Linked DNA regions of Nothobranchius furzeri. The protein of the gene in region 1 purifies or fractionates together with the protein of each later gene. This does not show direct contact. Links are inferred from orthologs where the notes say so. Each region holds a gene or a part of one and is shown on either strand. Other genes may lie near its edges.

Evidence for each region.
Region 2: the proteins of sap130a (region 1) and suds3 purify together in Homo sapiens (affinity purification with western blotting; 3 studies listed by BioGRID, with this or other methods). This does not show direct contact. The link is inferred for Nothobranchius furzeri from reciprocal best matches to the Homo sapiens genes SAP130 and SUDS3.

What each region holds. Positions count from the first base shown.
Region 1 is NC_091756.1:60,902,346-60,906,855, reverse strand, and holds the start of sap130a (histone deacetylase complex subunit SAP130a), read left to right. Parts: upstream 1-1,438; 5' UTR 1,439-1,550; intron 1,551-1,567; exon of another isoform or gene 1,568-1,687; intron 1,688-2,132; 5' UTR 2,133-2,148; coding exon 2,149-2,257; intron 2,258-2,346; coding exon 2,347-2,612; intron 2,613-4,510. UniProt on the Homo sapiens protein: Acts as a transcriptional repressor. May function in the assembly and/or enzymatic activity of the mSin3A corepressor complex or in mediating interactions between the complex and other regulatory complexes.
Region 2 is NC_091750.1:34,584,939-34,589,438, reverse strand, and holds the start of suds3 (sin3 histone deacetylase corepressor complex component SDS3), read right to left. Parts: upstream 2,816-4,500; 5' UTR 2,606-2,815; coding exon 2,494-2,605; intron 2,462-2,493; exon of another isoform or gene 1,749-2,461; coding exon of another isoform or gene 1,733-1,748; intron 1,016-1,732; coding exon 946-1,015; intron 857-945; coding exon 801-856; intron 619-800; coding exon 547-618; intron 248-546; coding exon 228-247; intron 122-227; coding exon 1-121.

The DNA.
Region 1 (4,510 bases):
TGAAGAAGCCTTCCACTGAAAAGGTTCTGTTGCATTACGGTATCATTAAGAGGATGCTCTGGGTTGTTAAATTATTTTTATTTTTGATTTTATGAAGAATCCTTCTTTGCACCATCATCACCAGTGGTTCCACAGTATAGTCTGCAGCACGGAACCAACCTTCTTTATCAGGTTGTTGAGCCTTTTTAGGTCCCTGGCTTTGATACTATCCTAATAGGTGATGGACCCAAGTGATTGCACCCTCTATGATATACTTATAGAAGATATGCAGCAGCTTGCTACAAACCTTAAAGGATGCAAAAGCCCCCCCCAAGAAGTCCAGCCTGCACTGACTCTTCCTGTAGATGGCTTCAGTAGTCCAGTCTGTAGATGGACATCGAGGAATTTATAGTCTTCAACCACCTCCTCATCTACTCCCATCGTGCAGATAGCGTTTGACCTATTCCTATTTCTTCTGAAATTTGCAATCTTGTCCAGGAGCAGAGGGCAGCAGTGGCTCAACAGGTTGAGCGGGTTGTCCAATAATCAGAAGGTTGCAGGTTTGATCCCGGCTCCGGACAGAGAACTCTGCTGTTGTGTCCTTGGGCAAGACACTTAACCGCCTGCTGGTGGTGGTCAGAGGGACCGGTGGCGCCTGTGCTCGGCAGCCTTGCCTCTGTCAGTGCGCCCCAGGGCAGCTGTGGCTACATGGTAGCTCATCCCCACCAGTGTGTGAATGTGTGTGTGAATGGATGAATGATACACTGTAGTGTAAAGTGCTTTGGAGTCCTTACTCTGAGAGGCGCTATACAAGTGCAGGTCATTTATCATCATTTATCATTTATTCTTTATTTAACCAGGAAGGTCCCATTGAGATTAAAAAACTCATTTTCAAGGGAATCCTGGCCAAGAAGCAGCAAAGGTTACAGTTACAATATTATATCATATGAATGTATGAGAGAACAATGGCACAGAATATGATATTCAACATTAGGTCATTTTCCTACACCATGCCGCAAAGCAGTGATAATGACCCCAAAGGACCAGAATATTGGACACCACTGCACTATTAGCAAAGGGTCTCTCTCTCTCTCTCTCTCTCTCTCTCTCTCTCTCTCTCTCTCTCTCTCTCTCTCTCTCTCTCTCTCTCTCTCTCTCTCTCTCTCTCTCTCTCTCTCTCTCTCTCTCTCTCTCTCTCCAACACTACTCCGTGCTGTTCAGTGGAGTTGCCACCTTGTGTTCGCGGTGCTGTAAGTAAATGAGCCTGAGACCACCGGGGTCCACCCTCCGGACGTCTTGCAGCACTTGGCGGATTCTAGCAACCCTCGCTCCTGCAGCTTCATACTCGTTGAGAAGCCAGTTGTTCTGGATTGGTTCAACAACGACTGGGTGGGACCAGAATGAATGCGCAGCTTCGATTGGTCACTGGTTTGGCACTCTGTCCTCTGATTGGTCAAAATAGCTCGGGTTCTTTCTGAGCATACTTCCGGTTTACATGTTGGAAAAAAGAAAAGACGAATGGAAAAATTGTAACCCAGAGAACGACCATTATCTTGTTATATAGCGATACGGTAACGTCTGCACACATTCAGATATATTTGTTTGTTTAGCCGTCAGAAGTTTTTGCTGTTTAGAGTTGAGAAGTTAAAAGCAGGGGCATCAGGTTATCGAGGAGTGTTAGCTTGCTGCTAGCAAGCTTGCTAACGAGGTACGCTTTTAGTTTTAGGCTTACAGAACCAAAACTGTTTGGTACAGGACATTTTCTCCTCATGGGATCGCGTTTGGTTATGTTGCTATCGGTAGTCTGAAAGCTGTTTGTGTATCTTCGGAATGACCTGACTGTTGGTATTTGACTAGTACCGATTGCACAGCCCTTTTCGCGATGTGTTATCACAGTAATCACCATATAACACCCAACAAAAGTGCGTAGTGTGTTATATTCTACTCCGCGTCGCACTTATTTATTTGACTTAACCAGTTTAACGTTACGGCTAGTCCTCGTTTTTACATGGTCGTATCCTGGATTCCTGCTATGCTCCTCTGCGCCCGCGAATGCGCATGGCGTTAGTTAACTCCTGTTTAACCTCGCAGCCCTTCACTACAGCGACAGAGTTTAAGCACAATACGATTTATGTTTGGTTTTAACCCTTTAGGTCAGAGGTTGTTAGAATGAGCTCACAGCAATACCCCCGACACGGACTACCCGCTAGCGGGGGCGGATCTCAGATTCCTGCCGCTGCAAACCTGCTGCCAGTCAACCAGTCATCAAATGCTGCAGGTAGCACATGTTTACTCTAAAGGTCCTTGTTTAAGGTGTCGAGAAAATCTCAATATTGAGGCTGAGTCTACCTCATTTCCCCTGAGCAGGTGGTGAGACAGTCAGCAGTCGGGATGTTGCTGATCATGGCCAACAGGATCATCCACCCTCCACGGCTGGAGCCACGTTGGTTTTCAGAGATGACAAGCAGGAGACCATGGTGGTCAGACCTTATCCACAAGTCCAGGCACACGGACAGCCGCAAGCTGCTCCTCAAACGGTGTCCATTCAACCTGGTACACCTGTGAATGTACCTGCCGCTGCTGTCCACCTCCCACAGGGACAGCCTACAGTTCTCACTGATGGACAAATGAAGGTGAGAACATTTCTCTGGCAGCATTTTTAGAAGCTTTGCATATGCATCAACATGCTTAATAGCTTTTCAAAATTGATTTATTAAACAGCCTACAAGAGATGTGAACTTGTTTGTAGGGCTGCAGCTATCGAATATTTTTGTAATCGAGTACTCTATCGAATCTTTTATCGATTAATCGAGTACTCTAATAAATTACTCTTTTGCGTTTTTAAACCATTATGTGAAATAGCATGTTGTAAAATATGAAAGACCTCTTGAAATGAGAAGCAATTGCCAGTTCAAGTTTTATTCAAAATTAGTTTTCAAAATTTCAGCACTTCAACTTTACTTCACAGTAAACAAATGCGAGTGGCTGCGGCCCAAACAGCACCAGAACCGCTCACGGCGCATACGCAAACATGGCTCGCCAGCTGTTTCCCTATTAACACACGTCCGTTTTAATTTCTACACTTTTTTGTCTCACACTAACAAGGATTGTCGAAAGCATGTTTGCCGTGGTTATGTCAAATTATACTGATCACAAAACATTTATTTACTTTCTTTTGTTTTCCTCCGCCACTCATAAACACCCGTGTCCTCCTGCAGCAATCTCGAGGGACAACGGACATCAATAACAACAGAGTAAAAAGTCAGACGTGTTGTAAAAACTGCTATTTTTAGCACATTTTAAGTCCGACGTGTTGCTACCAGACGTACGGTGTGAGCTGAAACTGAGTGCTACAAATGAAAAAGTTGCACAGTGTCTGCAGAATATATAGAAATACAGGCTAAAATGCATTATCTTGTAGAGTGACATTTACATGTGGATGTTTCCTGGTCAGGTGCTGCAGCATGGAGGATGTGGTGTTGTTAGAGGTGTGAATCTTCACTTGTCTTTCGATTCGATTACGATTATTGGGTCAACGATTCAATTCGATTCGATATCCCGATGCATCACGATTATTTCATATTGATTTGTTTTCATCGATAAATAGAAGATGTCAGATAACTGCTTTTTATTTTTTTTATCAAAAACGTAATTGACACAAACTGCCATCCCTCAAAATCTCTCCATTCACAACAGGTTAGGACAAAACATTTTAAACATTTAAGAAGATTTAACAAAGTAAAACATCTGTTTCCTGGTTCAACACCACTCCTCAGGCTGAGAAAAACACGCTTTGCAAAAACTCACAAAATCTAAAAAAAGTACTGAAAACCTACAGGACACATAATGTAATAATAAAATCCATAATGTGTTCATATATGAGTGTTTAATGTCTCTGAGCAGCTCTAGAGTCAAATATTTATGCCACAGTTCAAGGATGTCAGAAATAACACCAAATGAAATGTTTGACTTAGTTTATTTTATTTGAACCCAGTGGTTAATTTCTGAAATGTTGGAGAATGAATCAAGTTCTGTTTGATGCAGAAAATAATAAAACACAAAACAAATTCTACACTTCCAATAATATTTAAGATGTGTGTTTTATTCTTTCTGATAATAACACCAGCAGAAGGCTGTGGGCTGGATTAGGATTAAATTACCCAGATGATGGATCTCCTTCACTAACCAGCTAACTACAAACCTTTCCACTAACCTGTCCTGTGGGACCCTCACCCTTTAACCCTCATGTCCATGCTGTCTCTGGAGGAGCAGATAGGAGACAGACCTCCTGTAACTTAAAATGAACCAAAGCTTCCTCCCAGTTTCTCTTTAAGATGAGTTTAACATCAGTTTATCTTCATGACACAAAATAATAAAGTGGAACAAGAACTTCTATTTCTCTCTCCTTTTAACTTCTCCGTGTCCCTAAATAAAAGAGACAGACGATCACGCTGCAGCCGCTGTCACTGACCCCGCCCCCTCCCCAAGACCGGCTCTCCCTACATTACAACAAGCAGTCTGACTGAGCGCT
Region 2 (4,500 bases), on another chromosome or scaffold:
TCATCTTTTTCTTTTCCTCCAGCTCTGCGATTAGATTTTCCTTCAGCTCGACCTTTTTATCGTCAAACTCCTTCACTGCTGCCTTCTTCTCCTTGATGTAGTTCCGCTCCACCTGTTCCGTCTGGACGAAACCAAACGCGGGAGAAAAACGCCAGGAGTACGCTGCAATTCTAAATAAGTAGAATAGAAACAGCGCTTGGCAAAAACGCCTTGCTGGGCGTGCTTACCTCGAGCTGAAGGAATAAATCTGTAAAGTGAAAATTAAAACAATTTTGTCATTTAAAAACTCTTCAACAAAACTAAAAACAATGTTAGACAAGACTTTAGTAAGTTTGCTAAATGCTCATAGCCTCAGATTTGGGGGGGGGGGGGGGGGAAGAACATTTTCAAACAAATAGATAAACACAGCCTGCAAGCTTTTATCACCAGATGGCGGTGCAGTACATATTCAGTCTGGTTGTAATAAAACAGCATAAAGGAAACTCTAATGAGCTTGTTGACACAAACATGTAATCAGTTAAGTGAGAACAGCCGGTGTGGTCTTACCTGCATTTCGGAGTCTCTCTTTGTACTGCTGGTCCAGCTTCTTCATCCGTTTCTGGTACTCCTGCAATGTGCCTGCAGAAGGAATAAAAAATGTTCTGTATCCAAGATTAACTTCTAACACATTAAACACACAAGAAAAGCACTCATGTGGAAGCACACTGGTGTATTATACAGCTAATGGCAAAGGGTAAGCACTTTTAAACAGTATCTGCAAACAAAGAAATGCGTTTTAAACTAACTTTTGTTATTTATACCTTCTTGTAATTGCTGTAGTTGTCTTTTCAGAGAGGCCAGTTTATCCTGGTACATTCTGGAAAAGAAAGGTCACAACAAAAGTCATGAATACAAGCAAAAACCAAGACTTTAGAAAAAATAACGATTATATTTAAAACATCTTACTGTTCCTTGATTTCCACATAGTCATCCTCATCATGCTTGGCAAGATCTGTCTCACTGGCATCTTCAGTATCTGAGAAAAAGCAGACTTCATTTTAAAACTCTCCAGTGAGCCTGAAAACACTCACCAGGTGCGTTACTGCGTCTGAGAGCAGAAGCATGTGATGTTTACAGCGTTGTACACGCAGGACAGGTCTCCTGCACGGAGGGACGTGCGTGGCAGTGGTGAGATAATGGTGAACACCCTTCTCGGGATGCACTCTGGTTTGTTTGATTAGGAGAACACGGGAAACCCGCATTAGCCGAGTGACCGGAGAAAAAGTTCGGCTCGAACCGAGCCGACTTTTCCAGCAATGTAAGTTCGAATGAAAACACATAAACACGACGATCGATGAGGTGGCAGCTGGTTTGGATGTGGAGCTTTTGCCGCACGGTGCGATTAATCAGCGAAGTGACCGGCGGATTCGGTCAGTGTATCTGTCAGACCTCTGACAGCTCTGACAGCGACGCCGACGAGTTTCACCTTTTACCAGCGACGGCTAAAGGAAACTCAGGAGTGAAGTTTGTAAGCGCTGGATAACTCAGATCAGCCTGATTTTAACCTTCAAACCTTGGGACAAAAAGGTGACAAAGGCCCAGTTAAGCTGACACAGCAGCTTTCATTTTCAGTTAGCATTCGTGTGCTAGCCGGTTAGCTCTGACGTTTAAAGATAAAAAGATCCGATGCGGAGAAAAACAGGGAATAATCAACAATGTCCGTCTGAAAGTCGGCGTCGCGACAAAAGCAAACCTTGTAGTGTTGTCATGACCTTGTTTCCTTCTTGGTGTCTGTTTCACTGCTAACCGTCCGGTCTGACTGGAGTGAAAAGGGCAGAGCAGTGGTCAACCTGTCAACGCTCAAAGCTAACGTCACGTAGCCGACTGGCTAATTAACGATGTGTTCACCGTCTGGGGAAAAGACCCGGGGGACATAAAAAGCGCAGGCTGCGTCAAGATACGTGCAATAATATTATTATAGCTTGTAAATAATGACGTCAACGTCAAAATAATAGCTAACGTGCTCTGTGTATTGCTCAATCTGATCCGGTGGTAAAAGACTATTAAAACTGTGGTAGTTTTGCAACAAAAAATGAGCAAAACGTTGTTGCTAAACTTCCAGAAGCTCGTGCATACAGAATATAATTTCATATACAGTTTGTAAAAGAAATAATCAAACACGCTGACAATAAAATAAGCGTTTACTTGGAGTGTTACTGATAAACGCCACCAGAAACTCATTTTTCGCTGCTTTTCGCAGTGATTAGCGTGGATAGCTAACTATTGTGCGAGTAAGGCAGAAACGGACTCAAAGATTTCACATCTCCCCGCCTAGGGTTTCAAACAAAACTGTTAAAACATTCTCTTAATAATTTGTTTCTTCAAGCATGGTAGATTTGTATAATAGTTGCCCTAAATAGATACACTGAAGCAACAACCGCGAATTTCCGTTTCTGCTCCAGCAAGTAGACAGAGCCCGACGGCAAGTGAGGTTGTCGTGTATTATTTCTTTACCTTCTTCCGAATCCCTTCCCCGGAAACTCCGATCATCATCTTCATCTACACTGTCGAGCTCTTCTTCATCATTGTAATAATCCACTATAGGAGAAATTAATGTGGAAGCCATTTGCTCGTACGGGCAATGTAAACAAACAAAATAAACTATCGATTTGTGTTTTGCTGCTTGCTTGAAACTGCGCCTACAACTGGTAGGACCCCCAGTCTTCAAGGTGTCCAAGTATATGCCTGGTCAAAATCTCCATTTCAAACCGTTTCAAACCAAAGAAGAATATCTTTTTTTTTTTAATTACATTTTGAGTAGACTAAATGAGGATTCTTTAACGATATTCAAGTGACAGAAACATTTTCTGCATTGAAACAACTTAAGCATTTGGCATTCGTGAAATCAGGCAAACCGTTAACTTCGCAAACCGGGATAGATTTGTTTTTTTGTTTTTTTGTTTTTTTTATTTCTAGTAAGGTTTATAAAAGAAACGTTTATTTAAAAAAATCAGTGAGTCTGTTGCGAAAAATTAAAAGTATCATCTGTCAAATGCCTAACATCATTGCCTCTGTTGCTAAATCTTTTGAGAGTGTTTCCATGATAAATAGCCGATAAATGAATAAATTAAATCTTGGGCTGGGTGCTTGTTGTAAATTATGTAATGTTAGCCTAGTCACGAATCATTTTCTTTCTTTTTGTTTTTGTTCTGCTTCCTGTTTTTATTTATGTATTTGTCACATAAAAATTATAATGTGCTTATTAGTGGCTTGTGCACCATATATTTGCCAATAATATATTAAATGTGCATTGAAAGTCATCTGCAACCACTGATTAATATTTTTTATTGATACAACGCTTTTCCACAGAAATACAGGGAGAAGACGACTTGCCGTATGACCTAGCACACCTTCGATTATGTTCATCTTTAATACAATATACAAAATGCAACGAGTATATGTGTTTGACCACCGGTTTATTAAAACTGGCATATTAGACATCTGAAATGTCTAATAATTATTTTACAGCGAAAACTGTATTTGTTGTATACCTTAGTTATTTTTGTAGATTGATTAACTAAGCTGTGGTGTCTTTTCAAAATAAGATGTTGAAGCAATCACTGTTCTTGTTTATATGCATCTGTCAATATCATGCAGTAAACATGTAAATAAAGAATACATTTCCAAATCAAACATCTATTTGTTTTGTACTAGTGCATGCATTTCTAAACAGAATCCCTAGCAAAAGTTTTCAGTCACCTTAAATTTGTGTAGCTCTTTTATTTAAAAAAAATCCTTTCCATTGATGCCCGAAAGAGTAATAATATGGCATACTAAGGAAAATTATTTTTAATACGCTTGAGAGGCAATATTTTTTAATTTTAGTTAATGGTTCCCATATATTTAGCTTTTCAAATTGGTTGCATTTTGTTTTGTTTTAGGTCAAGATAATCTCACTTTTTCAGCAACATTACGTCTTGGAAAGGATTTTTTGTATAGCATCCTCTCAAGATAAGAATCACAAAGTGCTTAAAAAACTGAAAAAAAAAACATTAAGATTAAAAAAATGGGAGAAAATGTAATAACTTATGATGAAAAAATGTTGAAAATAAAAATTACTGTTGTAATAGCACCTTTTGATAAAAAAAAATCCAGTAAATAAATAAATACAGACCAAAGGCAGTTACATAGCAAATTATTGAGCATTTCACATGTAAATATAATTTTATTTGTTAAATAGATTAACTTTTACAGTACACCATCAGATGGCAGCATTGGACAGATTATAATCTGGACAAACCAGGTTTGCAGCTAACGGAACCGGGATGACTCAGTTCATGCATTTTTAATGACTTCCTAAGAAAATATGGTGTAGAATTCTCCCTGCTTTGGTTTGTGTTTGCAGCCTTTTAGTTTGAAGCAGCATCTCTGTTGGGACATGCCTCATCTACACGTCTACGTCGCGTTTTATTTAGTCAAACACGCATATAATTTTATTTAATATAAAGTTGTTTGTAACAA